2 linked regions of the Alligator mississippiensis genome follow. The protein of the gene in region 2 purifies or fractionates together with the protein of the main gene of each other region. This does not show direct contact. Links are inferred from orthologs where the notes say so. Each region holds a gene or a part of one and is shown on either strand. Other genes may lie near its edges.

Region 1 (3,743 bases), on a different chromosome or scaffold from region 2:
GGGGGTTATGGGACAGGACTAAGGGGCACCAGCCGGGCTAAGGGTAGTTAGGGGGCTACGGGTCAGGAGTGAGTGGCACCGGGAGGGCTGGAGGCAGGGGGGAGCAGAGGGCTGCAGGTTGGGACTGAGGGGCACTAGAAGGGCTGGGCGAGGGCATGGGCTGTTGATCTACTTTACTTACCTACTGCCTCCCCAGGGCCAAACAGTGAGAGATCTGGAGAAGAAATGTCTGGAACAGAGAGAGGTCAGAGGTTGGCAAGAGCCTGGACAGGAGGCCCAGATGCCTGGGTTCTATCCCAGCTCTGGGAGGGGCCTGGGGGGCTACAGCAAGGGTGGAGGGAGGGCTGGGAGCCCAGACACCTGGATTCCAGACAGTCAAACAGTGTCTCTGGATGCTTCTGTGCCAGAGGCAGCTGGTGCTGAGCAGTGTGGGCATGCTGTGCCCCTCACCAAGAGCCCAGTCTTTGCCCCCATGGTCCCAGGGAATCACTCACCCTCCTCTGGGCTGCAGAGGGTCATCAAATGCACGTACTGCTCCAGGTCCGAGTCCTGGTGGTTGGGGCATAATTGGGTGCGTCTTAGAAAAGGTTACCCCCACAATTCAGATGAAGACCCCTTACCCTCTCCTCACTAGCCCCATCCTCCTCCTTTGCAGGCCCCACCCACCTCCTCAAGCCCCTTCCCCAGGTGTTTCCTCCACCCTTAACTTCTTGAATGTCCTCCTCCCCCAACACAGGTCCTGCCCCTACCCCAGGCCGCCCCACTTTCACCAGGCACCCACCGGGCTGCAGCCCTCCCCTAACAGCTGCTCTAGGGGTCCATCGAGAGTGTCAGCCCTCCCTGCCACCAGGGGGGCTTCATCTGCACCTGGGGAGGAGGGAGAACCAAGCTTAAGAGCCAGAACCACAGGCCAGTGCCTCTTACTCCCAACCCGCACCCCACTGCCCCCCTGCCCTACCTGGTGCCCCATTCTCCTGCCCCGCAGCCCCCTGCCACTGTCCTTCACTCCCAAACCTCAGCCCCACTCACCAGCCTGCACCCCCACAGGCAGGATCTCATAGACCTTGTGGGGATCGGTGGCATCAGAGCTGTTGTCCTCGACCACCTTGAACTCAGGTTTCCGGTTCAGGGCCGAGCGGAAATTCCTCTTCCAGATGGAGGGCACAGGGGCAGTACCTGCATGATAGCACCCACTGACAGTGGCCCAGTCCTGGAAAGGAAAGATGTGGCAGGGACAGCAGGGAGACTCCCAACCCACCGGTCCCTGCACCCAGCCCTGGGATCACCTCTAGCCCTGTCAGTGCCCCTCATGCAGCCCCCTACCTCCTCCGCTGCCCCCAGCCCTGCCCTGCCCACAGGGAAGATGCCTGCTAGGAAAGAACCCAGATGTTCGGCCTCCCAGGCCCTCCATACCTAGGCAAGAGACTGAGAAGAAATGAGAGACCCCTCACTCCCCCCTGTTGTGCCCCTCACTCCCACCTGGCAGTCCCCTGCCTCCTCCAGCCCTGCCGATGCCCCTCACTTCCAACCTGCAGCCCCCCGGCCCCCCCCAGCTCTGCCAGTGTCACTCATTCCCAACACCCCAATCCTGCTGGTGCCCCTCGCTCCTGACCTGCAGCCCCTGCCCGCTCCTGACCTGCAGCCCCTGCCCACCCCAGCCCTGGTAATACCCCTCAGTCCTGACCCGCAGCTCCCTGCCACCCCAGCCCTGTCGCTGCTCCTCATTCACAACCCCCCCCCCCCTTGCTGGTGCCCCTCAATGCCAGCCCCCTGTCACCCAAGGTCCTGTCACTGCCCCTCACTCCCAGACACAGCCCTGGTAGGGGTAGCCCATGCAGGGAGTCAGGCACCCTACCTGGAAGAGCTGGAAGTCCTCACGCGCGGCATCATGGCGCAGTCCGTGCTTCCAGGGCACGCGGAACCGGGTGCGTTCGGCATTGAGCCAGCACACACCCGGGTAGCACCCACTGTCCAGCTGTTCCCGCAGCCAGGGCACCAGCAGCGGCCGCTGGGACCCCATGGCAGCAGCGCCTGGAGGAGTGGGGCACAATGGTCAAGGGAGCAGGGGCTGCTCCCCACCCCCTTTTCCCAACAGGGTGTGGCTGGGCCCAATCCTGGCAGGGCATCAAGCAGGAGCTTTCCCCCTCCAAGGAGTCCCGATCCCGCCCCAGTGCTGGTTGGGGGTGGAGCAGGGGAATTCCCCCCTGCGGGCCACCGGGCCTGATCCTGGCTGGGTGCAGGGCGGGGATCCCACGGGCCTTTTTCCTCCAGGGCCCCGATCCCACCCCAGGCAGCGCAGGGAGGTATCCCTTCCTCCCCGCATAAGAAGGTCCTTCCCCCAACCCCATGCCTACCCAGCCCCACCAGGAAGCAGTTCCAAATCCTCGCCTGTGACGTCACATCCCGGAGGGTCACATGACCGAAGTGTTTCTGATTCCCCCTGGAGCGACCCTCCCAAGTTGGGGGTGGGGGTGCAGCCCCCTGCTTGGGGGACCCGTCTCGGGGTGGGGGGTTTCTGACTTGTGGGGGTGAGGGCCATGCCCCAAGAGGGGTGATCGGGGGCTGTTGGAGCTGTGGGGAGTAGGTCACCCCCATAACACGGGACTTAGCCTCACTGAGCGGGGGGCAACCCCCCTGCGGAGTCCCCATAAAAATGGGGGTGGGAGCAGCCCCTGCCCCAGAGAAATAGAGAGAGAGAGAGAGAGAGAGAGAGAGAGAGAGAGAGAGAGATGCGCCTATGCAAATGAGCTGTAAGATCCCACCCAACCCTCATTTGCACAGAGTATTCCTCACCCCTCCCCCCGGTCCTGCGAACCGGCAGAAAGTCACGGGGCGTGGTCTGGGTAGGCCCCGCCCCCTCGCATAGCCACCCCCCCCCGTTTGGCGGAGGAGAGGGTGGGGCGCATGCGCAGTGGCCAGGTCCAGAAGTTTGAGTCCCCTTTTGGATGTAGGGGGGAACGCAGGTCCCGGCCGCTGCGGAGCTTTCCCCCCCCCCCCCTCGGGCAGGGTGAGGGGCGGCGGGGGGGACTTGGGGGCAGCTGGGTTAGGGACATTGCCCCCATGCACTGCCACTCCAAGCAAGGCTCCCAGCTCTGCTCCCCTAGGTGTCCCGGGACACCTGGGTTCAGTGGGTCCCCCCCAGGTGCTCCCGCACGGGGACACGGGCAGGCCCCTTGTGCTCCCGTGCTCAGCCCTGCCTGCTCCCCCCCCACAGGCTGGGCCATGGCGGGGGCCCCAGCGCCACCCCGTCCGCGGTGCCGAGTGCAGGCCGAAACCCGGCTGGTGCTGGAGGCATTTCTGCAGGGCCGGGGAGGCGCGGGGGCCCCCGGGCATGTGGGGCGCAGCTACCACGACCCCCAGCGCTACGCACACAGGTGAGGGGACACGGGGGGGGGGTCTGGGGCCGGGGCTAGGAAACCTCGGGGGTCTTTAGAGGCGGGTGATGGAGGGCAAACCCAGGAGCCGGGCAGGGGACTGTGGGGGGTGGAACTATGGTATAGGGGGCTCTGCAGGGAGTGTATTATGGGGGGCTCTACAGGGGCTGGGACCCTAGAGGCACCTTGGTGGTGGGTGAGGGGGGCTCTGAGCAGATCTGCAGGGGCAGGGGGGACCCTAGGAGCATCCACAGCAGTCTGAGGGGGGGCCCATGGGTATGCACTGAGGTTGGGGGAGTGGAGGAAGCCCTACAGGTATAGGGGTATATGGGGTAGCTGGGGGGGGGGGCACAGAGTTATGGGGGTGTA
Region 2 (3,743 bases):
AGAAAACCCATTTTGAGCAAATCAATATAAGCTGGTTAACCTTTTGATATGCGACTAGAGCACCTCAATCTAAGTTCCTCACTAGATTTCAGGTAAGTTACTCACATCCATGTCCAGGGAATTCTGGAGGCCCAGAGCATGATTCAGTGACCAGAAGGTGCCTCTCCCCCGCTATACTGGGCGATTTACTCGGGGGGGGGGCTGGGGGCTGGGTGATTTCTCCACACCTTGCACTAGACAAAATGTATTTCTTTTTTAAAATGTTATCTCTTTGGCCAAATTAGTTCTCAATCCTATCAACTAAGCAGAGCTCAATCATTCATGGCCATGTGGTGCTACCACCAGCAAGTACTCTCCCTTGCAGACACTTCAGGTTGGGGCTTCAGATAATGCCAAATCCATGGCAAGCATCCTATGTGCAAGCCACAAGCCCAGAGGCCTTGGAGTTCAGGTGCCCACTAATTTCATTTTTCCAAAAGGCCAAAGGAGCAAGCTAAAGGCAAGCCCAAGAGCTATTCCTCATCAACTTAAGTTTTCTGTTCAAGATCTTATAGTTTCATACCTACTCGGGTCAGAAGGGACCTGAACAGATCATCAAGTCTGACCCCCTGCCCTGGGCAGGAACGAGTGCTGGGATCATAATACCCCAGCCAGATATCTGTCCAACCTCCCTTTGAAGACCCGCAAGGTAGGGGAGAGCCCCACCTCCCTTGGGAGCCCATTCCAGAGTCTGACAGCCCTAACCATAAAGAAATACCTCCTGATATCCAGGCTGAACCTGCTCTCAATCAATTTGTGGCTGTTATTCCTTGCTATCCTGGGTGGTGCCTGAGGGAACAGAGCATCAGCTATTTTCCACTGGTCCCCCCAGTGAGTTTATAGATGGCCACCAGGTCCCCTTTCAGTCTTCTCTTGTGGAGGCTGAATAGATTCAGGCCCTTTAGTCTATCCTTGGAGGGCCTGCCCCGCTGCCCCCTGGTCATGCGAGTGGCCCTTCTCTGGACCCTCTCGATGCTGGCCACATCCCTCCTGAGTTGTGGCGCCCAGAACTGGACGCAGTACTCCAACTGCGGCCTGACCAGTGTCACATAGATGGTGAGGATCACCTCCTTGGCCCTGCTTGTGATGCATCTGTGGATGCATGACAAGAAGGTGCGTTAGCCTTCCTGACTGCTTCCTTGAATTGGTGGCTCATGTTTGTCTTGGAGTCAACAATGACTCCAAGATCTCTTTCAGCAGCTGTGTTGTTGTGAAAGGTATTCCCCAGCCTACCGGTGTGTTGCTGGTTCCTTCTGCCTAGATGCAGCACCTTGCACTTGTCTGCGTTGAACTCCATCCTATTCTCATCCACCCACCTCTGTAACCTGTCTAGATCTAGTTGGGTTCTGTCCCTCCCCTCCCCTCCAGTGTGCCCACCTCGCCCCACATCTTTGTGTCATCACTGAAGTTGGACAGTGTGCTTTCCACGCCCACTCCAAGTCACTGATAAACATGTTGAATAGCACAGGCCCGAGGACCGAGCCCTGGGGAACTCCACTGCCCATATCCCTCCATGACAAAACCGATCTGTCCACCACCCCTCTCTGGGTGCGACCAATGAGCCAATCTTTGCATCGGGAGGCATTTGCAGACTCTCTCAGAGGTCAGCTTGCCTGCAGTGCAAGAGATAGACCTTCAACTCAGCTACACTAAGTCATTCACAGACGAAGAGAAGGGGATTGCCTTTGCCTGATAAGAACAACCACCTGAGCTGAAACCAATCATGGGATGTCTCCTGCCAGGTAAGTGTGTGTCTGTGCAATGGGCTTTCCTAGGTCTTTGGTGTCACCTACCTGGTAATTGTTGGCAGCCTCCTGGATGGGGAGCACTGTGTGACTGTGGTGAGCCAGGGACTCCCTGCAGATCAGACAGATGGCATTTCCATCCTCCTCACAGAAGAGCTTGAGTTTCTCCTCGTGCTCCACACAGTGATTCTCCGTCTGCTCCTTTCCTGGTTTCACACTCTGCTCTTTAATCTTCTCCACCAGGTTTTTGAGCTGAGTGTTGAGCGGGAAGCTCCCTCTCTGAAATTCTGCTCTGCAGCTGGGACAGGGGACAGGGTCATCTGAGTCATCGACACGGTCCTCGCAGTATCGGGTGATGCAGACTTGGCAGAAGTTGTGTCCACAGTTTATGGTCACCGGCTCCTTCAGGAGGTCCAGGCAGATGGAGCAGGTGGCCTCTTCAGCCATGTCCTGTCCTGGAGGGTCTGAGGCTGCACGGCCCCGTCTTCTGCTGATTGTTCTTTGTGCTCTGTGCAGGCTGGGCTTGTCCTGGGTGGTGCCTACCTGAGAACAGAAGGTGATTTCCTCTAAGCGCACTTCTAAGAACAGAGAGGAGGGGCCATGGGGGCAAAGGGACAGCAAAAGGAAGAAGTAACCTGAGTGGACAGAAAGGAGGGATGAGGGCAAGGAACAATAGAGGCAGGGAGGAGAAAGGGAGGGGAGACAGGTTGTTCACAGGCAGGGGGGCAGAGATGAGAAACCACCCCTGACTCACAAACACGCAGGAAACAGTACACTCCATCAGTGCGCTGTGCAGTGCCTTCAACATGATGCAGGATTTTTAAAATTTCAATTTATTTTAATTTCCCATCCTGCAACCAGTGACTCCAAACATGAATTTCCCAGTTGTTGCTCTAATTCTCACCCCTTAAGTCCCACCTGTGCCAGGCCAGCTGCGTGCCATTCTGCCCAGAGGTGGCACAGGTTTGGAGATTGTGCTTAGGACTCACAAGGGCAGAAGATGATCACAGGTTCTCATCAGGCCTGTGGCACAGGGAGCTACGGAGACACCACACAGTCCCTTAGAGCCATCCTGACACTAACGGGGTCCATCAGCCTTCCCAGGCATTACAGAGAGCTGGGTCCAGCATCCACACAAGGGAAGTGAGCCCAGACCTCAGGCCAGTGGGGCAGAAACCAGCCTGTCACAGGGCTGTTCCCTTCATTTCTCCCCCGTCAACCCCTGCATAGCTGTCCTCACCTTATGGGACCTCTGCCAGCTGTGATGCCCAGGACCTGAAGGCATTTGTTATCACCCCAGGGGCACCCCAGCTCTGTGGAAGTGGAGCTATCCGATAGTGCCTACAAGCTGGATGAGGGGTTAGCAATCCTAGCACAGGTTCCAGAGTGTGACACGTAAAGGCATTGTGCTTGGCATGTGTGCCTCAGGGCAGACAGCAGCGAAAGGGCTGGTTTGGCACTGCCACAAGAAGGATTGGGCCCATCATGGCTCCCCGGCCATTTGCCCCTGGCCCACCAGCATCTTACAGGTAGAGTTTGTGGATGTTCTAGCACTCTGCCCAAAAACATTGCTGACCCCTGAGCTAGACAGAGAGCAGCTTCCTGCAGCCTGACAAGCCAGCCAGTAGGTCACACACCAAGATCAGGGATCTCAAACTCCCCACGCACTTGGAGCAGCAGGTGCCCAGAGAAGGAAAGAAGGGTTTGAGGTCCCGTTACTGTAAGGAAAGCTTGATTGTGAACTTGGGGTCAGTTCCTCCACCATGGTACCTGGCATGGCATGGAAACTGCCCCTGTTCGTGCCCTAACCACAGGGTAGATGCAAAGAAGCTTGCTCCATGTTCATGGAAGCACTCAAAACTCACAATAAAGTTGTCTCATCTGCCCCATTTCTGTTTCTGGGCAAAGGGACAGCTGAGCAGTTCACCTGCCAACAAGTACGCAGTGAGTAATAGGCCT

What was found. Proteins that work in one complex are often made in the same cells at the same time.
Region 1: the proteins of E3 ubiquitin-protein ligase TRIM39-like (region 2) and IRF3 purify together in Homo sapiens (affinity purification with western blotting; 3 studies listed by BioGRID, with this or other methods). This does not show direct contact. The link is inferred for Alligator mississippiensis from reciprocal best matches to the Homo sapiens genes TRIM21 and IRF3.

Annotation. Positions count from the first base shown.
Region 1 is NC_081828.1:40,029,507-40,033,249, reverse strand, and holds the start of IRF3 (interferon regulatory factor 3), read right to left. Parts: upstream 2,663-3,743; 5' UTR 2,650-2,662; coding exon 2,355-2,649; intron 2,032-2,354; coding exon 1,856-2,031; intron 1,414-1,855; coding exon 1,324-1,413; intron 1,211-1,323; coding exon 1,030-1,210; intron 868-1,029; coding exon 782-867; intron 550-781; coding exon 495-549; intron 230-494; coding exon 182-229; intron 1-181. Other genes in the region: BCL2L12 (bcl-2-like protein 12), read left to right, coding at 3,061-3,374.
Region 2 is NC_081824.1:485,829,262-485,833,004, reverse strand, and holds the start of E3 ubiquitin-protein ligase TRIM39-like, read right to left. Parts: upstream 2,728-3,743; coding exon 2,703-2,727; intron 2,363-2,702; coding exon 1,833-2,362; intron 1-1,832. UniProt on the Homo sapiens protein: E3 ubiquitin-protein ligase whose activity is dependent on E2 enzymes, UBE2D1, UBE2D2, UBE2E1 and UBE2E2.